Elephas maximus indicus: one gene and its partners. The protein of the gene in region 4 interacts with the protein of the main gene of each other region in a pairwise test. Links are inferred from orthologs where the notes say so. Each region holds a gene or a part of one and is shown on either strand. Other genes may lie near its edges.

Region 1 (5,394 bases), on a different chromosome or scaffold from region 4:
TAGTCTTGCCTTCTCAAAATAAATTCCACCAAGGTCTTTTTCCATTTTTCAAGTTCATAGGCTCAGAGATCTAGAAGGTAGCTTGAGGAATAAGCCATCGAGCTATTCCCCTGCTGTCAGGTAAGAACGTAAGGTTGTGTGTCACCTGTCCTACTCACTTGTTTTATAAGCAGTGCAGGTTGGTAATTTCTGTGTTACGATAAAATAAGCAAAGACACAATGATGACCCAGATACATAATTGTGACTTAATCTAATTTATTACAATACGAACCAAATAATTTTTCCACACCTGAGTGACATTGAACAGCACATAAACCAATTATTTTATGTCAAAGAGAAATGACTAGAATAAAGATTATGAAATGAGCAACTTGCATTTGATCAGGCAGAGTAAAACTGAGAAAAAACTGTCACTACGAATAAAGAAGCAAAAAGTCCCCAGAGTGTGAATTTCGGTCCAGGTTTCTCAGCATCGTTGTTCTCTGGAATGAGCAGGCTACTAGTACCCCAGTGCAGAGCAAGACGGACGACAAGTACTGAAAACATGGGCAAGAGGTTGGCAACCACTGGAGAGAGGCCTCAGGGGTCTGAGGCTGCTGGACACAATGCTAAATGGTTGCAAACCACAGGCCAAACCACTCAAGGGTTGGCATCCGTAAGTGAGGAGGCTCAGGGGTCGGCAGCTGTTGGGCAAACAGTTCAGTGGTCGATAGCCAATGGGTGCACAGCCCAAGAGATGGCTGTTGTAGAGCAGAGGACTCAATGGACGGCAGCCACTGGGCACATAGCTCAGAGGTCTACAGGAGACTGGGAAGCAAGAGCTTGAGATGGAAGAAGATACAGGAAGAAAGCTGGTTCCTTGGCAGGGTCTGGGCACATAGTAAGCAGTGGAAGGGCAGCAAGAGTTGCTGGGCTCGCAGTTGGCTGGCTGGCAGCTGGTTGGTTCACTGCAGGTCTCTTGGCAGTTGTCCAGGAGCCAGGAACTGCCTTGACAGCTGCTGGGTAGGCAGAAGGCATCTCCATAGCTCACATTGGTAGAGCAGAGGGCACTGGAGGAGGTGACAGGAATATGGCAGATATTCCTGAGGGATCCTGAGCTATAGTTTCCAGAGCAGTAGTTGTGGCAAGACATAGTGAGGTTTCTAGAGCAGGCTGTGGTTGAGTAGAAAGAAGTAAGTGTCTCGAGTTTGACTGTGCCCTCACTTGGTTTGACCCTTATATATCCCTAGCAGGCGGTGGTTCTGTATTCAGACTCTCTTCCTTGTTGTATGAAGTCTGCATCAGAACTCATCATTATAGCTCAGAAATTGGCACTACCCCCTCCCATAAAACCCAATGTTTCTTGCAAAGCTTCCCCTCGATAAAGAATGGCTATAAACCAGTGTAGCTAAAATTTTAATAGAATCTTTCCTTCTTAAATCATCCAAAGAAAACAGACATTTTAGAGGCCATATACTTATTCCAATGATAACCACCACTGGACAAACATTCCCAGAATTCCTGTCTTAGAATAGTCTTTAAAAATTGTAGGAAACATCTTTGAAACAGTGGCAATTGTTTCTCCGACAAGGAGAATTCTATTCATTTTGGAAATTGCTGAAGTAAGTAACTTGGAAGCAAATGTGTTGAAAAAGAAAGTGGGCAATCCTATAACCTATAAGGTTTAGAGCAGAAAGAGCTTGAAAGTACTATGATATGGTGCCCTGGCAGGGCCGTGGTTAAGAGCTCGGCTGGTAACCAAAAGGTCAGCAGTTTGAATCCACCAGCTACTCCTTGGAAACCCTATGGGGCAGCGCTACTCAGTCCTACAGGGTCGGTATGAGTCAGAATTCACCTAACAGCAGTGTGTTTGTTTGTTTTTATAATATAGAAAAAGTCCATGTGCCCAGTTTTTTGTTTTATTTCAGAATCCTGGTAGGAAGTGACTTTCCATCAAAACATCTTGATTCACAAAATTTGTGTTCAATCTATTCAGTTCAATTAAAAAAAATGCTAAGTCAAGCTGTAAGCTTGGTTTTTGTTTGCAATATTTTGTTTAATATAAATAATAGTTGGGCTCATTTACAATTACTGACCCTGCCCTGAGCAAAATCAGATAAGCAGAACTCTTTAAAGAAAGTTTGGTGACATGATTTTTTTTGTGATTTTTTAAGCTTATTCATTTTATGGTGTACTTATATTCCAGCTGCAAATTATTGTTTATGGTCAAAAATAAGATATAATGATTAAGACATGGATTTGGTTTTGCTTCCTACATTGGTCCTGACATTAATTTAAAAAGAGGTGTTCTAACTGTATTTTTTTTTTTTTTTTTTACAGGCAATAGCAACAGGCTAAAAGTATAGCCTTCCTAAGTATGAGTATTTTGGAGGCTACTTGGGAATAAATTGTATGGCAAGGAGGTTTTAAAATGCATGATTTGGCTTATTTTCAATGGTCCAACTCTGTTTTCCATATACCTGCAAATCCAGGGACAACGGTGGCTACTTTAGCGTGAACTTAAATTATCTGCTGAATCTCAGTTCCAATTCCCTTTGGCTAAAAATTCAATTTATGTTACAAAATTTCTTCTACTTTAGTGTTCATTGAACCCACCTACTCTTATCAAGTCTTTCTCAGTCCAGAGGGGGAAGAATTTATGAATTGCCTATGAGGCAATACAGGCTGATTTTGCTACCAGAGGTAAAAAGATGAAGAGAAAATTATAGTCTCTGAGGTTCTGTCCCAACATGTGGAAATTATCTCGGTATTTTAGTTTGGAGGCTATTACCCTTTCATGATTTGTATCTAATGTGTTTCAATAGCCCCAGGCCTTCGTCACCTGTCTGACACTGTTTGTACCCAGCTGATGGAGCCTTCTTGTGAAATCCTGGTTGCATCAGCTGAATGGCGTTAGTAATAGGTAAAGCCATCTTTAACTGAATGATTGTCAAAATTGTGCATCAATACTTTATGCCTGCTCTTTTCTATGATAAGCAAGAGCCTAAGACCTATATCATTTTGACACCCGTGTAAGTATGTCTCTGTATGTATACGTATTATATATGTAGTACAATGGACTCAAACACGCCAAAGATCATGAAGATGGTGCAGGAACAGGAAACATTTCGTTATGTTACACAAAAGGTAGCCAGAGTGGGAGCCAGCTCAATGGCAGCTAACAACAACAATATATGTAGGCATGGAGTCCCTGGGTGATACAAATGATTAGCACACTCAATTGCTAATCTAAAGGTTGGAATTATGAGCCCACCCAGAGGCACCCCAGAAGAAAGGCCTGGTGATCTACTTCCAAAAATTCAGCCATTGAAAACCCTGAGGAGTAGTTTTACTCTGGCACACATAGGTAGTCATGAGTCAGGGTTGCCTCGACGACAGTTGGTGCTTGTATATATACGAGTGTTTTTCTATGAGGAGAAAGACTGCAGAAGAGGGAACCAGCATTTATTTATTGCCTACTATGTGATAGACCTTGTGGTGTTCACAGCCATGCGTGAAATGTCACTTTATCCTCACAAATTTATATAGTACATTTTACTCTTCCAAGTGTTCCTATGCGAAAATTTGAAATTTAGAAAGGTGTAGTAATTGATATTAAGCGAAACCTTTGAATAAAGGCTTCTTGACCAATGAAACATTTTTCCTTTCAGTATGAAATATGGCACTATGTTGAATGTATTGATACTGTCATTTACTAGCTGTGTGACCCTGGACAATTTGCGTAATCTCCCTGAACCCCAATTACCAACCAGTATTATTTCTGGGAAAAAATGGGAATATTAATAATATCTATTTTTTAGTTTTATTTTTAGGATTAAATATATTGAGATATAATACAAAATTAATGTAAACTGCAAAACACTGAAGATAATCTGTTCTTGTTGTTGTTATCTTATTTTTTGCATCTCTACTCCCTCCCAAAGAGTATCATCCATGAGACCCTATTTTTTCTTATTATTGATAAGTAACACTTTGAAAATATCTACAGCATTTCAGAAAATGAAGTCCCCCAAATATAAGTTCTACCTTAAAATAATACATGTTGAGTTGACGTTACTGAAGAGTGACTATGCCACTAACATGGAAGGGTTTATTTGGGCACAACAGGTATCTCATTAGTATGCCTGCTCTTTTCTATTATAAGCAAGAGCCTGACACCTACATCGTTGCAGGTACCTGTAAACTACAGGTTTACCTACTTTATTGCTTTTTCTTTAATGAGCCAAAGGTCCTTCCCTCTCTTACTCTATAGAACCCCTAATCTCTCTCTGTTGGATACAAAGAATCCTCAGAGCGTGATACATAGTGAGGGTATGACCATAACTGACAGGCATGTCATTCATTCAGCAGATGTTTATTGAACATCAAGGATGTGTAAAACATTGCGAAAGATGCTGGGGATGATACCCAGATATAACTGGCTTCTGCTCTCCAGACACGTTCAACCTTGTGTGTGTGATAATACAGGAGCATAAATTCTCTAAGAGGGGTACAGAGGAGGACAAACAGAACTCATTGGCATTACCTAAAAGTTGGCATCTGAAATTAATTCTTAAGAATGGGAAGAAACAACCGGCCGTTTGGGGAAGAGGATGAGACTTCAGGCAGAGGTGTATCCAAGGTATGGCAGGCATGGCATGTGCCCTGGGTGCCATGTGGAGGGGGTGGCACCACTGAGCAGTTTCTATTAACCATCTCAGTAGTTTCCTTCGCCAGCTGTGAGAGATCATTCAGCAAGTTGAAAATAGTAGTTTGGTATTTGAGAGGCTCCATGAGTCAAGGCAAACTGTGTGATCTTGCTACGCTGAGATGGAGAAGAAACAGAAAGAAATGACTTTGAGCACATCATAGATCAGTTTTCACGAGTGAAAGCAAGGAATAGTTGTCATTTTCATGTAGTGCCATAATGTGTTAAGTAAAAGGTTAATGAGCTTGACTTGTATTTTTGAGCTGATATTATGATAAAGTTATCTAGAAGATGGGTGTCAGATGTTTGGACAGGGGCAAAATTAGTGCTTGCATAGGCTCCATTTTCCTCAGATACACCTCTGCATCTATGGGCTATGCAAAAAGTATACTGAAAACCAAAAAACCAAACCCACTGCTGTTGAGTTGATACCAACTCATAGCGACCCCATAGGGTTTCCAAGCAGGCTGCCACATCTTTCTCCAGCAGAACGCTGGTGGTTTTGAACTACCAATCTTTCAGTTAGCAGTTGTTCACTCTAACCACTGAGCAGCAGGGCTCCTTTTATGCAAAAAATACAGAGACAGAAAAAAAATAATGGAACAGTCTTTCAGTAGAGGATTCTTAGAGGGGAGCCATAGCCACTAAACTTAGATTCATATTCTGAAAGACATACAACCATCAAGGAAGTAGTTGAGATTTTATT
Region 2 (7,475 bases), on a different chromosome or scaffold from region 4:
TTCTAGGCCAGGTGGAGCTCGCAGGGACCCACTATGACGGGCCAGTCATAGTCCTTAGGTCGCAAGACAGGTCCATTTTAGACAGGCGGAGGCAGCTGGAGAGGTGGCGAGCAGGACCACTCCTCACTCGTCTTTCTCATCCTGGGGCAGAGGGAGGTGCCAGTCTGCAGGGGGGCTCCGCCTCAGGGACCACACCAGGGCGTGCTTCCGTGCAGCCTGGACTCGGGCCCGCTCGCTCTCACAGAGGGATTGCTGTGTAAATGAGACCCCAGTCACTTCTGCCTCATGGCTGGGCCTCAGTGGGCCTGAGTGCCCTCACGTGGCCCCTGTATTTCCCTGCTCCTCAGCACCCTTCCAAACACAGATAGAGAAACAAGAGTGTAGCATGCATACTGTTCTGCAGTATGGTTGCTTCCACCTAACATGTCTTCGCAATTGTTCCATATTAGCACACATACATCTAGATCATTCTTTTTCACAAGCCACTGTAAAAACTACTGTGTAAATCACCATCATTTGAATAAAATTTAAAACATCTCCTGGGCCTCAAGGCTCCCTGGCTTCGGTTCACCTAGTGAACGTGGGGCAGGTTCACCTGCAAAGACAGAAACTGGAGACGTTGAACTGTGAGAAGATAAAAAAGTCTGAAAGAGTGGCTGTGGGAACCTGCCGAGAGGAGCAATTGGCTGAACAAAGAAAGATGAGATAAGAGACATCCCCAGAACTCCTTGGAAGGTTAGGGAAGGAATCAGGCAACAGGTCACTGGGCACAGATGCGCACAACAGGTCCCACTCCACACGTGGGAGCTTCTCTTCATCCACTCTCTCTCAAAAACAAGCACAAGGGCAGTGCTGTCACACAAAGTGGGCCCCTGGCATGTGCCAGGCACTACGCTCTTTACACATAGAAGTTCATCTTCTCCACCTGCCTACTTGTCTCTCCCCTCAAGCCCTATTGTCTCAGATAGAATGCTTTTGTTCTTGTTTAGAAAACAGAAGCACAAAGTAGGGTGTGAAAGGCTCCCAGGCCTCCATCTCAGGTGACAGTTAACAGCTTCCCTACACCTTTCTATGCCCAAATTTTAGAGTAATCCTGTGTTTCTCTAAGGGTGGAATAATACTCTGTTGGTTGCTGTATTTCCTGCTTTTTTTTCACTAAATGATACACTGTAGGTAATTTTCCACACCACAGTATATTACTATCCTGTGTTTAAAGGCTACATGGCACTCCGCCATGTAGGAGTACTTATGTAGTCAAATGTCTACTAGTGGAATTAGGTTGGTTTCAGTTTTTGCACAATCACAAACAATGGCACAGTGAGCACTTTAAGCTTTTAACTGTGCACTGTTGTCCAACTCTTTCCCTAGAACAGACTTCCAGAAGTAAAACTGGAGCCAAAAGTTATGCTTTTAACCTATTTAGTCAGATTAACTGTCCTCCAGAGAGGGTGTTCCAGTTGAGACGCCCAGGAACAATGCGCAAGTACTCCTGACTCTCCAAACCGCTACCAACACTTCTACATTCCACTGGGCAAAAAACACTGCTACTGTCCTTTTAACTTGTGTGTCTGGCCATTTGGCTTTCTTTTTTCATGAACTGCTTCTTCATGCCCTTTGTCCACTTTTCTATACTGAAATCATCCCCACTTTTCCTTTCGATATATAACAGCTCCTTTTTTATACCTATTAAGTTGTCAATCTCTTGCCATATAGACTGCAAACTATCTTTCCCAGTTTTCTTTCACTTATTATGGATTTGTCATCGCTTCCTGTTAAATAGCACCTTGGTTTCCACATCAGCTTGTCTGTTCCAAAATAATCACGTACACTTAACAAAGTTGAAGCTGTCCCCAGTCCTGCTGGCTCCCCTTCCCCTAGGCACTCCCCATAAGCACTGCACCCTCACCCCTTCTCTCCATCCACACTCCCACCACTGGCCTGAGGCACCACTAGAGTGTGGGTGCCAGGGGGGCAGTGGCTGTTCTCTTCACTCCGCTAACCCCAAGAACACCTGCCATGAAGTAAGCCAGTGATAAATATCTGCTGAATGAATGCACAACTAGAACAACCTCCAGAACAGAATCTAAATTCTTTATCAAGACACATCAGGTCCCTGGTAGCTCTCCACCCTCATCCTCTACCCTCCACAGCCCTCCCTCCCTCCGCTCCAAGCACCATGGCCTTCTTTCTGTTCCTCAGTCTTGTCACCTAGGGCTGGGTGAACGCTAGCTCCAGGTCATTCAGGATTCAGCAATATGGCCTCCTCTGAAGGCCTGCTGATGGCCCCAACACTTGCAGGTGGCCCCTCCTCCCTCTCCAAGTCACTCTACAACTCCTCCTAACTTGTCTCCTTCATTGTCCTTAACACCGTCTGAAAGTCCAGTTGATATACCTGTTTTTGGCATTTCTCAAAAGAAGGGAAGCTTAAGGAGGGGAAGGGCCCAGTAGGCCTCCTCTCCACAGGGTCACCGGAGCCTGGGTCGAGGGGAGGGCTTGGCACATGCAGGGGGCTCTACACATATCCGCAGGACGCGCGCCTGCCCGCATGCTTGCTCTCTACCCCGACATCCTGGCAACGTGTCCCCGCTGGCCTCCCCAGGGTACCTGGGCCTCGGCGCTGCGGCGTTTCTCCCACTCGTGGCAGCTGGCCAGGTCGCGGAGCCACTGGTCGCAGGCCGGCCGCTCGCCGTGGACGTAATAGTGATGCAGAAGGTGCCTTGCGCTGCGGCAGAGTTTCCACTCGGCGCGGTAGGCTTCGCAGGGTCGGGGCGGCTGCGGCGAGAGGCGACGCCTGAGAGCTGCCGGAGGCACGCCCCACCCCAGAGGCCGCTGTGCTGCCCATCCCCCGACCCCGTCCCACCCAGCCCAGTGAGGGTTCGGTTAATATGGTCGCCTGGTCCGACGAGGCCGCTACGGATTCGGGTCACAGACCACGCTTACCCGCCAGTTCCCGCCGCCGTCGGCCATGTCTAAGCAAAACCACCAAACCCCGCCTTCTTAACCCGTCAACCAATGAAAACTGAATAAAGTCGGCAGCCACACGATTGGCAAATAAAAGAACCAATGAATTCCTAGATATGGCGGGTTCTAACCTCCTAAAGAGGGGCCAATAAACAGGAGGTCCGCATTGGGCAGCCAATAAAAGCCTGGGGCTGTGGTGCGCGCGGGCGGGGCCGGGGAGAGGCGGTCAGGTATCCTCTACAGGGGCAGGAAGTCTGGCCCCGGACCTAGTGTTACCGCAGCGGCTGGAGGTGGGCGGGAGTGATGACTGCAGCTGCCCGCCTGGTGTCGGTGGGTGTCCCAGGCTGCAGCCAACCACGTTAAGTTGACTGTTTATGAAGCCGCACGATTCAGGCCGGTTAGTTTCAACAGCTTCAATATTTTCAGGAATCTCAAATGCCCGGTTAATTTTCCTAAGCAAATAGTGAACATCAACCCCGTGTCAGGAACCACCAGGTTCTGGGACAGCAGTGGTCTCACCCTTCGCATCCAGTCAAGAGGACTGAGGTGAAGTCACAAAATAACCTGGGTTAGCTCAGCATAGTATGGGGGAGGAGGTGAAGGGGGCTTAGGGCACAGAGTAACTTCGTGGAGGGAACCGGGGCTGAGCGCTCTGAGCATAGCAACAGCCTAATCAAACTCAGGGAGTCTGTGTCTAGCACGGAGTGAGAAGCAGAGCCGTACAAACCTGGAGGAGCTTTTATGTCTGATAAGATTGTAGGCTGTTTTGAAGCCACGCAGAGACAACGTTTACAAACAGGGGAGGTGCAAAGAGGCAATAAAGAAGCCAGTGGGCCTCCACCAACTCTCTGCAATACCTCGTATCTGGATGTGGTGGTTCTCCAGCTTCTGCTGATAGAATCATTTGCTGGGGAGTCCCTTAGAGCTAGGTTGCTGGAGCCACCCCAGGAGTAAGAGTAGGTCAGACTCACTGGAGGAGGGGCCCAGAAAGCCACCAGTTTTACCAATGGGCCCACCACTGAGGTGGCTGACCCATGGCCCAAGCTTGGAGGAACACTGTCTAGGAAGACTATAGGCCAAAAAAAAAAAAAAAAAAATAGGCCAGGGTGCAGTAAATGACCTTGACTTCTAATCCAGATGACCCCACTGTGTATATCCTTAATGCTTCCATCAGAAGGCCCAACAACTGGGTCTACCCCCTGGCCCAGGAAGGGCAGTGTTCTCCACACTACCAGCCAAGAGCCAGATGGAGTTTCACTGCATACACAATAGGTGTTACTTATAGATGACAAAAGCCAAGGCCTATGGCTTACTGTTAACATTCTTCATTATGCATATAATTACAATTTGTTAGCCAATCTAATCCTGCAGATGGTGGCTGCCAATCCACCAAAGAAGGCGCCCATGTCTGCTAGGGAAACGGAGGCTCTTTTAATGGAGGGTCAGGTAGGTCAGAAAAAAAAAAAAAAATTCTTTTTTTCTTTTTCTTCAGGTAGGTCACCGCAATAATTCATGTCTTCCAAAACCACATCCATCACCACTGGTCCTGACCTCTGTGGTGACCATTTGGGCCATGGGTCCAAGCCCTGGTCACTGACATTTGTTGATGCAAGTTCTCTCTGAGGATACCTGGATAGATCCTGAGGCTACCACCCTGGAGGGGTCATCTTTTTCTCTTCTGAGTGTTGGAGAAGCCCTGTCAAAGTCAGGCTTCAGCCTATAAGCATGATAAGCCCTGGCACACAGAAGGGACCCTGCTGGGCCTCACCATCCCTACCCCCAGGGTCACAGAGCCTCCTCTCTCTCTCCATTATCCAGAAGAAACCCCAGAGGGGCACTTTTCTAAAGGCAGGATGGAAAGTGGGGCACTCGTCGGCAGGCCTTCCTCCCCTTCCTAGTCAGTGACCCAGCCACCAATCACGTTGTTATAAACATTTACATTAGAGACAGTCCAGGTTTTAATCATTGCCTGTTTTTATTTTAAATTCTTCATTTAGAATTATTTTCAAGGAATAGATTAAAATAGTTAGATTAGCATGTCAAAAGATCTCACATTATAGAAGGTGAAGATCTCAGACCAAATTAATACTAATAAAAAATAAAGACAGACCAGCAGAGCTGTGGATAATTTAATACAGTAAAATTGGGAGTGAGGATGGGGGAGAAGGGAAAAGAGCATACCTTTATTGTTTATAATAATATTCACATTTGTGCTTCAACATGAAGTTATTTTTCTATAGAACAGGTTCATTCAGGAGCCAAAGTTACTTCCACATGAAACCAAAATAAAAGTGGGTACTTTGTTCAAATCAGGTTTTCCTTCTGAGGAATGGTACTTAAAAAAAAAAAAAAAAAAAATCAATATGTAAAATAAAAATAGAAACAGCCTTTCTCAAATATATAAATTGCAGCCAGGGTAGCAGATATTCTAGGCCAAAAGCAATATCTTAAGCAATGGACCTGGAACAAAAAAGAAAGGCTACATAGAAAAAAAAAAAGAACATCTCAAGTTAGAGCAAGGCAATCCCTCCACTGGCTTTATCAGGAATGAGGGAACGCTGGTCCCACTGAGCCAGTGGCAGCCCCGAGGGCTGAGCATAGACTGGCAAGGAGGTGACCGACTACTGGACCTCAGAGGCAGCTTTCTCTTTCCCAATATTAAGCACACAACTATGAAGTCCTGCTGTTGCTCTTCCAGCTCCAACTTGATAATTCTAGGTAACTCTAAACAAACCTTAAGTAACAGAGCGTTTTCTGGCAATAGTCTCATCCTTGTCAGAGCCAGTAACTAAAAGCCAATACGTTGCAATCAATTATTTTATTTTCCAATCAGGCAACAGCCCCGACTTATGGCTTTCTTCCCTTTTTACGCAATGACTGTCCTTCTCCAGAAAATGCAACGAATCTGCCTCCAGCTTCATCCTAGGTGTGCAAAGAAAATACCGTTTTCAGAAAGTCCTTGGAAATTTATAATAATGTTCTATTCTGTTGACTCCTGTACCATCCAGTCATTTTTCTTTCCCGTTACTCATAATGAAAAATATTTTAAATATAAATACAAGTCATAGTTCACTACATTGAGAACACCAAAGAATCACTATGAGTCTGCCACAGCCTTTATTCTCAGGTTAAAAGTGTATCGTTTTACAAAAGCACTACATTTCCAATGTAAAGAAAACATAGGATACACCAAGAAAATAAAAATCACTCTAAACCCTGTTGCCATTAAGTTGATTCTGACTCACAGCAACCACGTAGGACAGAGTAGAACTGCCCCATAGGGTTTCCAAGGAGTGCCCGGTGGAATCGAACTGCCAACCTTTTGGTTAGCAGCCAAGCTCTTAACCACTAGGCCACTACCCTAAAAAAGGCTTTCCAGTCACTTTTCGGTCTATGACTATATAAACTGTAGTTTCTTATCTAATACCTTCTAAAGTCTACACAGACTCCCATCACGTGTGAACCAGTCTTATATCACTGCGTGGCCCCCTCATGCCCAGGCTTTCTGTATTTTAAATCGCTGTGGTGAGCAGCCTCATGGGTCTGTACACAGACCTGGCTCTTCCTAGAAGTGGGGTGGATTCCTAGATGGAATTCTTGGGTAAACGGGTATACATATTTTCAAGGATTTTAATATATACTGACTAATCAGCACTCAAAAACATTCTACTAAGCTATTCTCCTACCAGCAGAGGGGACTTATTATTCTGATCCTTTGAAAACAGCAGGTATCTTGGCACAATGACCCATTTTCACATGCTTTTATTGCTAGTCTTACACATTACCTATTGACTTTTCTCTCCGGAAGAAGAGGGTTCTGCTCTCTCCAATGCATACCCTGACTACCTGCACCCCAACACTCATTCTGTCCCCTCCCCATCCAAATACAGCACTTCGCTTGTTCTAATTCTGTAAATGTGAGCCATAGCCCAGTTGTTTAGTCTTCCTTTCCTGCACAACCTTCCAGTTTTCCTGGTGTCAACAATGGTGTTTGGCTTCTCTCTACTCCATCTGTTCAATCACAGCAGTATTCCAGCAGGATCCTGAGGCCTTTGGCCAGCCTAACCTGCACTGGCCATTCTCTAGCACTGCACATGGCAGTGGGGACTCCCTGTTTTCTGGATTCTGTGCCTTTCTTATTTCTTTATCTTAATGGGGTACATCCTCCAGCACCCTACTGAGAAAGGCAGCACAAGGAGTATCTTTTTATGAGATCTTAAGGTGTCTTAAAATATCTTTTTTATACTCTCACACTTCACTGATGGGTTGGTGGGTACAGAATGTTAGGTTGGAAAAATTTCCCCTCAGAATCTTCTAGATTTCTGTGTCCTACTAAGAGGCAGATGCCATTCTCAATCTGCGTGAAACCTCTTCAGGAGTGGCTCCCCTGCCCCAATAGGGCCATTTTCACCCATGCTGAGCACTCAGGGACCCTTCCGAGCAGCAAAAGCCTGCCCTCTGGTTCAGGGAAATTGCTTCCCTGATGATTTCTCTGTTTTCCCTTTCTAGAACTC
Region 3 (7,504 bases), on a different chromosome or scaffold from region 4:
TAAAAAAAATCAGTTAGGAATAAAAACCTGTGTGGCTTAAATATTACCTTAAAATAATCTTTACCATCTTTGAATTTGGAAACTCGAGCCTAAACTATGATGATGTGAAATCTGCCATGCATAAAACATTCACACTCTCATTTCTTAAAGAACTTTACATATATGGAAAACAAAATGATCAAATAATCCTTTAGTTTTAGAGTATTCAAAGGAAAAACCAGATACATTTCACAAGATGCATTTTTCAACTACATTATTCAGAAACAAAGAAGTGATTTCTTTTTTAATTTATTTTGTTGTCATTGAAAAGTGATTTCTTAATAATCATTTTTTCATTAGGTGTATTTTGGATGCTTAATATAGTTCAAATCTTTGAAACATACCAACAAAAAAGGAATAAAGTCATTTCTATCATAAACTCAGACATTATGGATTTTTTTTTAAGGATGTATGGAGAACCCAGAGCAAAGCAGTCATGAAGGAAAGAAAACAAAAACCTGTATGATCTAGGGCAAATGAATTAGATTTGCCAGGTGTGGGACCTTCTAATCACATTCTCATTGTTTTGTTTATTATTAGCTGCTGTCTCATCAGCCCCTGACTCATGTTGACACCACGCACGGTGGAATGAAAAGCTGCCTGGTCCTGCGCCATCCCCATGATCAGTTGCAGGTCAGACTGCTGTGATCCATAGTTTTTATTGGCTAATTTTCAGAAGCAGATCGCCAGGCCTTTCTTTATAGTCCATCTTAGCCTGGAAGGGCCACTGAAACCTGCTCAGCATCACAGCAACATGCAAGCCTCCAGTGACAGATGGGTGGTGGCTGTACATGAGGTGCACTGGCTGGGAAACCAACTCTGGTCTCCCACATGGAAGGTGAGAACTCTGTCACTGAACCACCACTGCCTCACTCACGTTCTCACATGGGGTCTCAGTCCTCTGGATAAAATGGCTGTAATACATTGTGTGATCAAGATGACTGTCTTGATAACAGTTTTATAACATGACACAAGATTTAGGAGCCTCAGAGTTCACATAGTTAAGACTTTAGCTGGTCATGAATCACCTACTTAATATTGCTTTAAGTTATGTGAACTCTTGAGACAAGCAGCAGGCTAAATTCCTACAAGAGCCTACCTACACAGGACTATCTTTTAACTGGACACAGGCAAGTTCCTGAGCTACTGGGTCAGTCTTTTGGTTTCCTGGATGATGGAGAGGGAGCTCTCATAAAAACTGTATTCCTGATGGGAATGCAACAAGGAATGCTCTATACAAAGAGAAATGCAGGAAAACTCTGTTGTAACCAGTGTGAAGGAACAAACATCAGACTTGTTCAAAAAGGGGGGAAATGAAGATACATACACACACATAAATGTGTGAAGAGCTTTAGAATACGATTTCTAAAACTACGCTTAAGACCAACTGCCAATCTTTCTCTGACCCCCTTTGTTTTCAACACTGGAATGATTTCTAGCATTGGTTGTTTTCAGGTCCAGATATGAGATACCTTCCACTCTACTGAGTTTGAGGAGAGTAATAGCCAGAAAGCCTTCTTCAGTTTAGTTCAGTGAAGTGAACTTAGGGGAGGGGACAATGTTTTTTAGACAAAGCCATGTTAGGCCTTTCAAGGCCCCAAGAACTGTGAAAAGATTATGGTGGTTCCTCCAAAACACATCAAAATAAACTGCATTTTTCAAAATCACACAAAGCTTATCAAAAAATCCAAAACTGAACCAGATGCCTTTGAGTTGACTCCAACCCATGGCGACCCCATGTGTGTCAGAGTAGAACTGTGCTCCATAGGGTTTTCAGTGGCTGTGATCTTTTGAAATTAGATCACCAGGCACCTGGTATGGATTGAATTGTGTCCCCCGCAAAATGTGTGTCAACTTGGGTAGGCCATGATTCCCAGTATTGTGTGGTTGTCCATGATTTTGTGATCTAATATAATTTTATGTGTTATAAATTCTAACCTCTATGCTATTAATGATGCAGGATTAGAGGTAATTACGTTAAAGAGGTAGGATACAATACAATCTACAGGATTAAGCTGTATCTTGAGTCAATCTCTTTTGTGATATAAAAGACAGAGCTGAGCAGAGATGAGAAGGACCTTATTACTACCAAGCAAGAAGAGCCAAGGGTGGAGCGTGTTCTTCTGATCTGGGATCTCTGTGCTGAGAAGCTCCCAGACAAGGGGAAGATAGGTAAAGCCTTCCCCTAGAGCCAGCACCCTGATTTCAGACTTCTAGCCTCCTAAACTGTGAGAGAATAAATTTCTGTTTGCCAAAACCACCCACTTGTGGTGTTTCTGTTACAGCAGTACTAGGTAACCAAACCATAAACCTCTCCATTAGTAGTCTAGCACTTAACCCACCACCCAGGGACTCCACAAAGCTTTCATGCATGCTGAAATTAAAATATCTCTTTTCTTAGATTTTTCTGATTACAACATTTTGATGAGTTCAATAAACGTGAACCTCCCTCTCTTCTTTCTCTTTTGGGGTTGAGGAAGCCCCTTTCTGGTGTCCTGTCATTTTCCATCAACTGAGACATATCAGTTTAACTTTTTAATAAGCTACAACATCAGGAAGAAACCTCACCTGGAGTCTCCACTCTGCGGTAGTGATAAGGGTTAATGCACACCTCTTTCTGCTTCGAGCCAAATGGGAATTCACAGCACTCCAGTGGCTTCAACTCATGGTGGGACTGAAGATCAGGCCAACGCCACACTCGGCAATAAATGACATGGGGCAAACCCTTGCGGTGGGACACCTGCAGCCGTCCATCCAATGACCGGGGAATTGTGACACACTTGCTGGGCTGCCCCGGACAGCTGAGGGCCCTCTCCAGCTCATCCATGGCTCCTTTCTTCTTCTTTAATTTCTTCACTAAAGAGTCTACCGCCTTCTCTGCCCACTTTTCCTCTTCATCTCCTTGTTTCCAGCCTAGCAGTCTCTTTACTGCTGGGCTGGTGAAGGAGAACAGAGAGCTGATGGGGGTGCTGGAATGCATAAGGGGTGGACTAATGGCATCCAGTGCACAGAAACATGAGAGACCACCCTCAGGGCCCACAGGGCCCGGCAGAAAGAATCAGCAAGCAACTCTCAAGCAGTGTCATTGCACAAATCTTTCTGTTCTTCTGGATGCAAGTGTCACTGATTTAAGTTGGCAAGTGTGTTGACTTTCTCCTAAGCCCTTGAATAGCAGTAACTCTGGAAAAAACAAGACAAGACTTTAATTAGATTAATCAGTATAATTTTCAAAGAAGGTTAAAGTTGAACATAAAGAAGGAAACAACTGTAGTCTTCTTTGACTCTTCCCTCTCCTTTGTGTACCATGTCCAAGTCTTGGTAACTTTGTTTTCAAAACGTCTTTCAGATTTTGTCCCTTTGTCTCCATTTCTATCAACACCTGAGAACTTACCACTCACCTAGATAGCTTACTTCAACACCTCTGAAATAGCTTCTCTCCTTCCCCTCTCTTCCAATTCTAATCCAGTTACTCGCCAAAAAACTTTCATGAAGCCATTTTTCTATTTAAGAAATGGCAGTCACTCCTTGCCCAGCCAGGTTTCCCAAGTACAAACTGCTCTCTTTCTCGGTTTCTAGGGCTTCCTTAAACAACTTGCTCTTTCTTCTTTTTTTCTCATTTAGTTTGCACAAGTAATCCATTTTCATTGTGGAAAATATATATATAAGTGGAAAGTAAAAAAATTAGGATTAGTAATAATCTCACCACTCAGGGATTAGTGACTGCTAATATACATTCTTCGAACGTAGTTCTCCAGGTGTGATCTAAGGGCCTTGGGAAGTCCTGAGAGCCTTTCAGTGGGGCTGTTAGTTTCTCTCTTTTCTAATTACGTATCTGTGTGAGGCTGGCGATCTACTTCTGAAAATTAGCCAATGAAGTCTTATGGATCACAACAGACCATTGTCCAACTTGCTTGTCATCAGGAGGGATCAATCACTGGAGGAGGACATCATGTTTGGTAAAGTAGAGGGCCAATGAGGGCACTGGAGATCCTCAGTGAGATGGATTGGCACAATAGCCGCCAAGATGGAATTGAACATGCCAGTGATGGTGAGGATGACACAGGTCTGGGCAATGTTCTCCTTTAGTTGTGCATAAGGTGACCATGAGTTGGTGTCAACTTGATGACACCTATCTAGCAGAAGACATCTATATGCAGAAGCAGATATGAGAATCTAGTTGTCACCTATTAAAAACCTATTAAAGCAGATATTAAAGAGATTTGCAAAGATGTAAAACAATGACATGATTTTTAATACATTTTAGGGAAAACATAGGGTTATTTTGAAAACAAATTATTTATGTAATATGTAGTGAGTTTATTATGATTTTTAGATGAATCAAGTAGTTTAAATTCTCAGTTTTAATTTCTAAGACAGAAAAAAATGATAGATATAACCTGCATAAGCAAACTCTTTGAGTTCTCAAAGACATGACACCAAAAAAAATTTGCGAATTGCTTTTCCAGAAGTCAGTCATAGTCACATGCATACCTAACTGCATACACATTACTACTGCTGTCACATTTGTTGTTCTCCCTGAAAATGTGTTGAGTTCTTCTTTGCCCTCTTATCCCAAGGAGACATTCTTTTCTAGTTTTTTCATAGTCTTATTTAAATTTTCTGAGATATAGTGGCATTTCCTCTCCTGTGAAGTAGTTGGCTTAAATAAAACCTGTTCCTTCCAGATTTTAGAAACCAGGTACCTCATCAATGTTTAAAATGGCTGTTGGTAACACTTTGGAGGAAACTGACTCATTTTAGTATCCTGGAATCAATCTAGCTCATAATCTCTAACAGTCTCTTGTTTAATATGCATTAAACGTAATTTTATACAAACTTCTTCTTAAAAAAAAAAATAAAAAACTGAACCCAGTGCCGTCGAGTCGATTCTGACTCATAGTGACCCTACAGGACAGAGCAGAACTGCCCTATAGAGTTTCCAAGGAGCGCCTGGTGGATTTGAACTGCTGACCCTTTGGTTAGCAGCCATAGCACTTAACCACTACGCCACCAGGGTTTCCTAAAGAAGGTGCTATATAAACACTTGCTATTATTATCATTATCAGGCACCTCCTGTGAGGAGGCCGGAAGCCTGGTTACACAAAAATTGATTACATTTAATAAGTATGAACCAAAATTTATATCACTTTAGGCCTCGTATGGACTTTATTTAGCTTTGTATAGAGAGGTAAACTATGATGAAGAGAAGACTTGAGGACTTGAAAGTTGTTCTTTCTCATTCAGCAGTTTGGCTTACCCTCAATTTGGAAACGTTGATTTTGTGGCTTGACAATCATGAATTTATATAATTAAGTCTTTTGTCTAAGCTCTGCTTACTTAATCTAGACAGGCTGCCTTAAAGCAACAGTGCTAAAAGGGGGTTTACAGAGTTTGGAGAACAGGAAGTAGCATGACACAGAATAATCTGAAGCCAAAAAATGTTTTAAATTCTGCTTAGTTTCACATGGGATTTGTTATTAGTAAACTGTGGCATAAATCTTTAAACTTAGGTCAGTAGTAAAGAAAAGTTCTTTATAAAAATGTTTAGCAGAAGAATGGCATCTGGGGTCTTAAACACTAGCGCACGGCCATCTATGATGCATCAATTTGTCTCAACCCACCTGAAGCAAAGGAGAAAGAACACCAAAGACATAAGGTAATTACCAGCCCAAGAGACAGAAAGGGCCACATAAACCAGAGATTACATCAGCCTTCTCAAAAAAAGAAAAAAAGAGACCAGGAGAACTAGATGGTGCTCGACCACAACTGATGACTGCCCTGACAGGGAACACAATAGAGAACCCCTGAGGGAGCAGAACAGTGGGATACAGACCCCAAATTCTCCTAAAAAGACCAAACTTTATGGTCTGACTGAGACTGGAAGGACCTGGGAGGTCATGGTCCCCAGACCTTCTGTTAGCCCAAGACAGGAAGCATTCCCAAAGCCAACTCTTCAGACAGGGATTGGACTGGACTATGGGACAGAGAGTGATGTTGGTGAGGAGTGAACTTCTTGGATCAAGTAGACACATGAGATTATGTGGGCAGCTCCTGTCTGCATGGAAGATGAGAGGGCAGAGGGGGTCAGAAGCTAGCCAAATGGACAGGAAAATAAAGAGTGGAAAGGAGTGTGCTATCTCAGGGGGAGAGCAACTAGGAGTATATAGCAAGGTGTATATAAAGTTTTGTATGAGAAACTGACTTGATTTGTAAACTTTCACTTAAAGCACAATAAAAATTTAAACAAAACAAAACAAAATGTTTAGCAGAATTAAACATTCCTTTCAAAAAGCTGTTGCTCCATGAAACAAGTAACAATTCTCTAAACCATGGTTGTTTTTTAAACTGTGGGTTCCCATCTATTAATGGCATGTGAAATCAATTTACTGGGCCAAAATGACTTCTGTAAAAACAGAAGACTATATCGAAGAGCAGCAAACATAAAAAGAATAAATATTTCATTAAAGTTTTTCATTCAGAGGTTTGTGTTTTGCATGAGTGAGTGAATGTATGCATGTTCAGCATCACAAGGCAAAATTTAGTTGTTAGTGTGTATTTGAAACAGTATCTCTAAACCATATATTTTCTCAAATTGTATTGGGGCCGAGGATGCAGTGGTGGCTAGTGGTACAACTCTTGCCTTTCATGCAGGAGACCGCAGTTTGATTCCCAGCCAATGCACCTCATGAGCTGCCACCACTCATTTGTCCCTGAAGGCTTGCATGTTGCTATGATGCTGAAGAGGTTTCAGTGGAACTTACAGACTAAAAGGGACTAAGAAGAAAGGGCTGGCGATCAACTTCCAAAGATCAGTCAATGAAAACTCCATGGATTTTCATGTGCTACAATTGTAAAAAAAAAAATCTCTGGGGGAAAAAAAAACCCAACTCTATGGATCACAATGGTCTGATCCCATTGTGCATGAAGTCACCATGAGTCGGGGCCAACTTGACAGCAGCTAACAACAACAGTGATAACAGCCAATATTTCTAAGATTCAGCCATGAGGAGAGGCTTTCAGGAATAACCACTTCCCTTTGTCCCTTGGGGAAATTTCAGATGGTTCAGAATCTAGGGTCTCATCTACAGTCAGACTGGTACTCTGCAGTCTGATCTCGCTGCTGCATTTCAAATCATTGTAACAGCCTAAGGTGTCTCTGAAACACAGCTCCTGATCTATCAAACAAGCCTTTGGATTGCGGGAGGCCCTGAGGGGTCAAATGCAGATTCTCAGAGGGATAAACACTAAATTCATCACAGTAGCTTCTGAGTAAAGAAGAAAATACAAAATCCATGGATGGCTAATACATTATTCTCTATACTTGTTCATATAAAAGGTATATTTTTTAATAAAAAAGAAAGTATGAAAAAATGAATCAAACCTGGAATCTCAATAACACTAAGGCCTCAGGGTCTTGTCTATGTTAATAATCTCTATTTGCTCATATGGCACAATTTCAGATTCA
Region 4 (7,993 bases):
CAGTGAGGAGGCAGGAAGAGCCAGCAGAGCAGTGGGCATCAGTCTGGCAGGGTATACCCAGATGCCTGCTCCATGTTGTGGACAGAGAGGGCCATGTGTCCTGGGAAGAGAGGGACGAGGATAAACCAAAGGGTCCATGCCTGGCTTTGTCCTCAGGCCAACCTGGGGAAACTTAGGCTCCCAGCTTCCGCCTGGGCTGAGGGGTGCTCACCAGAATGGGGTTGCAGCAGCTGTAGCTGGCTCCCCCTGGGTCCAGGCAGCAGGCCACAGGGCAGAGCTGACCATCTGGGCACTGTGTTCCATCCACCAGCCCTGCCACCAAGGCCACCCAGCTCACCAGGGTCCACATGGTCCACCTGCAAAATGTCAACCAGCATTTGGGAACTCATTAGCTTAAGCCCATGCCACCCTTGATTCTGAGGCCATTCACAGGCTCAGGCCCAGGCCCAGGCCCAGGCCTACCTGAGCCTCCCCAACAACTCCCTGTCCAAGTAGGAAGAAAGATGTGGGGTCCGAGATTCCACTTCTACATGTCACCTGTGTGTGTGTGTCTCCATGAGCATCAATGCTGACATGAGTATATGTGTGAATCTGAGTCCCCGACATGGCCTAACACCTGAGTCTGTGCGTGTGGCAGAGACGTATGCATGTGACAGTCAGGAGGATGTGTGGTTTTTGTGGGTCTGATCTGTGGGGACACAGGCCACCTGGGTGGGGTAGGGTGGGGTGTGGTGAGCACCAGTAGCCACAGGAGAAAACAGGGATGGGGGTGGCAGGAGAGAGCTCCACGGCCCCTCGTCCTCAGCCAGCTCTTCCAGATACCTCCCAGCCTGGTGGTGTGCATACACATGTACCCCGCTACGGCCTGCGTGTGTGGGGTGGTCACATGATGACATGGGAAACCACAGGGTTGAGAAAGTTGAAAAAAGGGAAGTGTGGTGGACAGTGGAGTCTGGGCTTCTTTTCCCAGAGGCCAGCTGACTCTCCCCTACCCCTACACCCATGGAGGGAGACACAAGGCTGGGGGGCGGCCTTTGAGACACCTGTTCTTTGAGAGCCCCCCAATACCACCAGGGCCCTCTCAGACTCCCCAAACATACCAACCACTTGCCCCTGCTTCTCCTCTACCCTGAGCGCCAAAACTCAATCACATACAAAAAGAGACCACATGGGATCCATGAGGGCCTCTCGGCCCTCACCTGCCTCGACTTGAGTCAGCAGGAGGAACTAAGCCTCTCACTTCCTAAACAACTCTTCCCCCAAGCTCCACGGCCTGACGAGAGCAACGGGGCAGGCCTGGGAGGCACTGACTTGCCCAGTGTGTGGGTTGTGCCCCTTGAGAACCAATTATAACATCCTATTTTATTTCGTCTTTGCAATAACCACCCAAAATAATAATTATTATCTTTACTTTTCAAAGGAGGAAACTGAGGCTCAGAGATGTTAAGTATGGTGCCGCTGCTGTACGTCAGGTCATGGCGACGACAGGTTTTGATGGCTGCACAGCTTATTGGACCTGGTTCTTTTCACAAGTGATGCCCCAGGCAGGGCTCAGGAATGAACCCCCCCAAACAGAGGCCTGGGGTCCAAGCAAAGGGAGGGGGACAGAGGCATTTCCTGAGCAGGTGGAAGGGGCAGGGAAGAAAAGGGAACAGGGGTTTTGTGGAAACTGCACTTGGGTCCTAGTCCTGGAATTGTCACCAACAGATTGTGAGAGCCTCAAAAGGTGAGTGGATCAGGAAATCTCTCCCACCCAGTCACTCCCTCACCTGGTTTTCCTCAGGTGCCCCCTCCCCCAGGTCAAAGAACAGATGAGGATGAAGACTGGTATGGGATGCTGCCCTTTCTCCCTCTCCTCCACCACCACCGCTCCCAGGAAAAGCCTCTGCAGCTGGCCCCACCTGCTTCAGGGGTGGGGGTGTCTAAACTCACTCCTCAGCTGCCTATCCTGCTGCCCTGGCTGAGGCCAGAGGGTTGTCTGCACAGATCTATGCTTGTTCTGGACCCCGGTGATTTATGTTTATTTTCCTTCCTGTGTATCCTTAGGTTAGGGTGTATAGTTCAAATCTCTATTGAATACATACACACACAGAACTAGAGACGGGGGAGAAGGAGGCCCAGTCCCCGCCTCGGGCTGCTCCTCAGTAGGGTTCCTAGCGGCGGCCTGTCACCCCCAACGCACACTTCCACAACAGAAAGGACAGGAGCGTCTTCAAGCCCCCAGCTCCGTCATCTTCCACTAGGGGGCACCCCCCAACTCCTAGTGGCAGAGAGGAAGATTCCCCAAAAGTGAGCCAATCCATTTGCAACTGAGGAGGAAAAAGTGGCTGGGAGAGGCGGAAGTTAGCTCGTCCTACCCCCACGTGAGGAAGCAAGGAAGAGCCAGACAAAACCCAGGAGCCCTGGTGGTGCGTTTGGCTGCTAACCAAAAGGTCAATAGTTCGAGTCCACCAGCCACTCCCTGGAAACCTTGTGTGGCAGTTCTACTCTGTCCTATAGGGTGGCTATAAGTCGACACAACACAGGGGCTCGGTCACCACTCCCAAGTCCCTACCTTTGGGGCGGCCAGGGTCTCAAGTCCTGCTCCCAGTTCCCCGGGGCAGCCACGGGGACCACTCCACCGCCACCACCAAAAGAGGAAGGAGCCGGCTCCTGTCAACAGATGGCTCTAGAATAGGGTGGTACCTGCTTTGAGGAAAGGGGCTGCAGCTTCCGGGGATCCTGGCACGGAAAAAGCCCCCTTCTAATGGGGTCACTGCAGTTACCACCTACTCTCCCCTAAAATTCCCTCCAGTGCATCAGAAACCCTCAAAGGAGTTTCTGGACGCAAATCTCCCTTCGTCTCCCGGCTGAGACTCCAGGAGCACCTCAAGCTCACCAGTCCCCGGCCGGACCCCTGGGAAGGAGCCAGTGAGAGGTGTGCACCGCCACCCTCTTACCTGCGTCCGGATCCGCGCTCCCTGGCAGCAGCAGCCGGTCGGCTCGCGCACTACAGCCCCTCCGCCCGAGGACCCGCCCACCTCAGTGTCCATTGGCCAGCGGCCGGCATGCCTCCCTCCCATTGGTTATTTGTCGACGTGGAGGCAGGGCCAGTCTGGAATACTGTGTTTCTTTTCAACCCAATTCACTCCCCCTTCCTATCTCTCCCCACCCCCCATCCCTGCAGATCATGTGATTGGAGAATCATGTGACGCTCTGGCCCTTCTCAGACTGCCGTCCAGAGCCAGCTTGCAGATCTTCCTACCTCCACCCCTCTGGGCTCCTGGGAGAGTTAGCCTCAAGGAGGCAACGTGTCTGGGGATGTTAACAGCCAAGGGGGCTACCCCTCAGGGGTTTTGCTCAAAGGCGTTTACAGGATGTCGGGTTGCATCCCCTTTCTACTCTATTCAGCAGTTAATTAAATGCTAGGGATTCAGGGCCCACAGGGGGTTGAGGAGGGTTGTGAGGATAAGGACAAGCAGCCCCCAGGCCTTTTTTTCAAGACGCTCACGGCTGGCCGCGGATAAGGAAGGGAGAACAAATCGGAATAAATCTAATTTAAATGTACGAGGTCGTGTGCCAGGTGCTATATATTGTGAATATGAAGAGGTAGTAGGTTTGCCACAGGGTGGGGAAGAAGAGATTAATTCCACTTTGGGAGTTCCTTCTTGAGCTGTGTCTGGGAGGATTTTAACTGACAGGTGGGGAGGGGCTAGGAGTCCCTGGGTGGTGTAAACAGTTCAGAACCACAAAGGTTGGAAGTTGGAACACACCTAGAGGCACCTGTGAAGAAAAGCCTGGCTGTCTGCTTCCGAAAGATCACAAAACCTTAAAAACCCTATGGAATACAGCTATACTCTGCACACACACAGGATCACCATGAGTTGGAATCAACTTGGTGGCAACTGGTTTTTAGGGGAGAGGCTGTAGAAATGACTGGAGGCCAGGGGTTGGGGCGGTCTTGGGAAGAGCATCAGAACACTAGATGGGAAGGGCAGACATAGGCAGGTTGAATGCCCTGTTCAGTGCAAGTGGCCTTGAGTAGCTGCTGGGTGCCTGAAACAAGGCTGGGCTGGGGGTGGGAAGTGGAAGTACTTCTTAGTTTCAGTAGGCCCTGCCTTCCAGAAATTGACATGACAGGTAAGGAGAGAAAATTTATACACAGAACAGATTAGCCAGTGACAGGAGCCAGAACTGCTCAGTGCCAGTGGCCTGGCACAGGCAGCAGTGGCTGATGGGGAGATGGGCCAGAAGAGAGGCCCAGGGAAAGTGCTGGGCCTTGGAGGAAGGGCAGTGGACAGAGGCAGAGTGGACAGAGGGCACTACAAGCTGAGGAGAGGGCTTGAGGTAAGGTGGTTGTTATCATCGAGTCAATTCATACTCTGGTGACTCCACGTGTGCAGAGTAGGACTGTGCTCTCTAGGGTTTTCAAGGCTGTGACCTTTCAGAGGCAGATCAATAGGCCTGTCTCCTGAGGTGCCTCTGGGTGGGTTCAGACCTCAAACCTTTTGGCTGGTAGTAGAGCACTTAACGTTGGAGACACCCAGGCACTCGGGGCTGGGGCAGGGAGACAAATAGGGGTGGTGGGAGTCTAGGTAGGGAAGGAGTGACAGAGTTGTGGAATTGTGTTACAGGGGTTCTTAGCCTGGGGCTAGAAAGGGCCCAGAAAGTGGATAAGGCTCCTGCTGCTAAACTAGGACTACTTTGCACCCTGGTGACTTATTTGTGTGTATTTTCTTCCCGTGTATCCTGAGGTTAGGGAGTATGGCTTATGTTTCTATTGAATACACCACGCACTTGAGCTTCATGAAATGTTAAGCAAATTAATAAATGAATCTATGCATCACAACTACACAGAACCAGAGAAAATGCATGCAGGAGAAAAAACCTCCAAAGTGACTGAAACAGACATCACAAATTCAATCTCTAAAGCAGTAATTTTGTCCCCAGAGGACAATTTGGGGGGGCAGTACTGGCATCTAGTAGGTAGAGGTCAGGGATGCTGCTAACTATCCTACAATGCACAGAACAGTCCTCCACGGTGAAGAATAATCTGGCCCAAAATGTCCATAGTGCTGAGGTTGAGAAACCCTGTCGTAAAGGATCACAAACTTTTTCCATAAGGGAGTCCCAAGTTTTCCACGTGCATAGGCCCTTTGATTTCATACACTTTTAATAAATGTGACTATCTGATTTCCCAGCAACAGAAAGATGAGGGGATATGTTGAAGTTTCTAGAGGCAGGCACTTGGCGTTTAGCAAGGATTAAAGGCTTAAGGGGACAAAACCGCTGAAAAGCAGACTGAAGAACTCAAAAGCACACCAGATGTGGGACATTGAATGCAGGGCCAAAACAGCCCTGTAGGACTGGCGACCGTAAGGGCATCCCTCCTAAAGGACAGTAATTGACAGTCAAGGGATCAGCCAGAGCATTCAGAAAAGTTTAAATCATATGCAGTTACTCTGATTACTAAGGCAAGGAAGTGTGAAATACGTTTACTAAACCACTTGACAAAGTGGATGAAATGAGCCTTGGGCACTTCAGTGGAGAGGATACAGTCCCCAGCCCCACTCCATCCTCCAGGGCTGTGGGCCAGCTACCACATTCCTCAAGAACACCTCCAGGGGACCTTGATCAAAACGGATAAAATGCAGAACAGAATTTCAAACTCTCATGGAATCCAGACTTTCTGGAGCCATGGAAGCTAGATGAATCTCAAAACTATTGCCCTGAGATAATCCTTAAAATTTAAATCAAAATATCCCCCAAGTTTTCTTAAAACCAAACAATAGTTTAACTTAACTAGTAAAAAACGTCTGCCTTGGGCATTATGCTCTTTTAAGAACTATTTATATGAGATCGAATTGACAGCAGCAACTGGAAAGATCCCATAGGAACCTTAGAGGGCAGTGAGTTTATGTTAATGGAGGAGCAACAACTCAGAAAAGGAAGGTGAGAATGGTTGCACAGCTTGAAGATTGTAATCAGTGTCACCAAGTTGCGTAGAAACTGTTGAATTGGTGTATATTTTGCTATGTATATTCTCAACAACAATGACAAATAAATTATTATTATTTTTTAATCTAGTTGTGCTGGACTCAGTCTGGTGGAGACTGAGGTAGTTGTGATCCATTAGTCCTTCGAAGTAGTCTTTCCCTTGTGTCTTTGGTTTTCTTCATTCTCCCTTGCTCCAGACGGTGTGGGACCAGTGAAGTATTTTAGATGGCTGCTCACAAGCTTTTAAGAAACCAGACTCTACTCACCAAAGTAGGATGTAGAGCCTTTTCTTTATAAACTGTTATGCCAATTGAACTAGATGTCCCCTGTAAAAGAGATATGACATCAAGGAGTCAGTCCCCATTTGCGCCCCTCCCTAAGCCCTTCCCAGGCCCGCTTTGTCAGGCCTTGTGGTCCCCAGGACTCATGCTGCTTCCCTGCATGACCTCACCCTGCCCAGCCTGGGTGTTAGTATCTCGACCTCTGTCCTTTTTTGGGTTTGCTTACAAGGAAATAAACCACAGCCTGAAATCTCCACAGACATGTTCACTCCTGCCCTACATCTGGCCCCAGGTTCCCTGGTCCCTGGGAAAACCAGCATTGCCTGCCTGCAACTCTCCAGGCACCTCTGCAAACCCCCTTCAACCCTCCTCTCCTGCCTGTACCTGCTGTGAGGGCCTCAAGCATAACCACCTGGGCTTCTGCCCAGTCTGGTGACTCAGCCCTTCCCTGAATGCCCTGGTGTTCAGCCTGATTCCAAAGTGAGGCTTGGCTCTAGTGTAGAGAATGTAGCACCGGGTGGACAGAGGTAGGCAGGGGTGGGCCCTGAACCTGACCCCCTGCCATCTCCTTCCAAGAATTTTATATCTTTCTTCCTTCCTTCTTTTCTACCTTTCTTTTTTCCCCCTCTCACTCTTCCTTCTTCCATCTCCCTTCTTTTTTTTAGTTTTAAATACACAATTCAATATAAATGCGCCAAAAAGTCACTGCAGTGTAATGGTTTATATATGGCTTTTCTGGCCCTGGGTTTGTAATCTGCCAAAAAATGATTGGTTAGGCCACAGGCTTCCCTGTGATTGGTCTATTTTGCACCTTGCAGTTAGTTTACTAGTCAAAAAAAAAAAAAGTGGTGTGTAAAACCACCCAATAAGATTGAACGACTTTTGGTCCACCGAGGGGATTGGTTGATTCCTGGTTCTGCTGGGAGGTCCACGCCTTGAAATTGACAAGGAGTTTGCTTATATAAGAGGCTAAATGCAGGGGGGGTTTGGGAGAGAGGCAAGGAAGGAACCTCAAGACCAAGAAGATCCTGGGGAGGAGCTGTTTGGACCTGGGGTTCCTGCCAGGAGACCCTCCTAAAAGAGCTATAATACAGGTCAGGCGCTGTAACATTGAAGATGGCAAGAGGCCCAGAAGGGGCCCAGTGGCAGAGCCAGTGGTAACAGCAGAAATCTGCTAGGAGAGCAACACTAAGCAAGCTGTTACCCTGGCTGTGAGCTGGGCCAGTTGGCAGCAGAAAATCCTGCATGGCAGAAAGGCCTGCGCTGCAGAGAGCTGTCCTGATTGGAAGCTGTCTGGCACTGAAGAAGGCAGGGATGTGCTCTCTACCCTGGAAACTTGTCTATGTGCTTCCTGATGCTAATCCCAATTTGTTCCTGTTACTTCCAAATTGATCCGGATCCCAAGTAAGAGAAATAAAGTCTTGACACATGCTACAATATGGATGGAGCTTAAAGACATTATGCTGAGTGAAAAAAACTCAGTCACAAAAGGACAAATACTATATGACCTCCCTTACATAAAAAAAACAAGAAAAGACAAATGTATAGAGACCTTATTGGTACTAGGGGCAGGGGGGAGGGGGAAAGAGGGAGTTATCACTTATGTAGTACTGAGTTTCAGTTTATGGTGATGGAAAAATCCCATTGATTAAGGATAGGGTTGCACAGCTGATTATTGTAAGTGCTGTCAATAAGTTGTACAGGTGTAAACAGTTGAATTGGCAAAAGTTGTATGA

What was found.
Region 1: the proteins of GRN (region 4) and keratin-associated protein 26-1 interact in binary tests that used the Homo sapiens proteins (3 or more experiments, as listed by UniProt). The two-hybrid records come from large-scale screens. The link is inferred for Elephas maximus indicus from reciprocal best matches to the Homo sapiens genes GRN and KRTAP26-1.
Region 2: the proteins of GRN (region 4) and C22H22orf39 interact in binary tests that used the Homo sapiens proteins (3 or more experiments, as listed by UniProt). The link is inferred for Elephas maximus indicus from reciprocal best matches to the Homo sapiens genes GRN and C22orf39.
Region 3: the proteins of GRN (region 4) and SMAD9 interact in binary tests that used the Homo sapiens proteins (3 or more experiments, as listed by UniProt). The link is inferred for Elephas maximus indicus from reciprocal best matches to the Homo sapiens genes GRN and SMAD9.

Annotation. Positions count from the first base shown.
Region 1 is NC_064836.1:31,370,068-31,375,461, reverse strand, and holds keratin-associated protein 26-1, read right to left. Parts: upstream 1,134-5,394; coding exon 501-1,133; downstream 1-500. UniProt on the Homo sapiens protein: In the hair cortex, hair keratin intermediate filaments are embedded in an interfilamentous matrix, consisting of hair keratin-associated proteins (KRTAP), which are essential for the formation of a rigid and resistant hair shaft through their extensive disulfide bond cross-linking with abundant cysteine residues of hair keratins.
Region 2 is NC_064840.1:32,679,422-32,686,896, forward strand, and holds the start of C22H22orf39 (UPF0545 protein C22orf39 homolog), read right to left. Parts: upstream 3,009-7,475; 5' UTR 2,968-3,008; coding exon 2,941-2,967; intron 2,773-2,940; coding exon 2,605-2,772; intron 253-2,604; coding exon 124-252; 3' UTR 1-123. Other genes in the region: UFD1 (ubiquitin recognition factor in ER-associated degradation protein 1), read right to left, coding at 5,809-5,883. UniProt on the Homo sapiens protein: Negatively regulates long-term potentiation and modulates adult synaptic plasticity. Stabilizes the interaction of RTN4 isoform A/Nogo-A with its receptors, inhibiting clustering of postsynaptic AMPA receptors at synaptic sites.
Region 3 is NC_064832.1:18,130,942-18,138,445, forward strand, and holds the start of SMAD9 (mothers against decapentaplegic homolog 9), read right to left. Parts: upstream 3,026-7,504; 5' UTR 3,020-3,025; coding exon 2,608-3,019; intron 1-2,607. UniProt on the Homo sapiens protein: Transcriptional modulator activated by BMP (bone morphogenetic proteins) type 1 receptor kinase. SMAD9 is a receptor-regulated SMAD (R-SMAD).
Region 4 is NC_064837.1:50,849,321-50,857,313, reverse strand, and holds the start of GRN (progranulin), read right to left. Parts: upstream 3,017-7,993; 5' UTR 2,940-3,016; intron 2,653-2,939; exon of another isoform or gene 2,555-2,652; intron 2,261-2,554; exon of another isoform or gene 2,085-2,260; intron 357-2,084; 5' UTR 350-356; coding exon 212-349; intron 101-211; coding exon 1-100. UniProt on the Homo sapiens protein: Secreted protein that acts as a key regulator of lysosomal function and as a growth factor involved in inflammation, wound healing and cell proliferation. Regulates protein trafficking to lysosomes, and also the activity of lysosomal enzymes.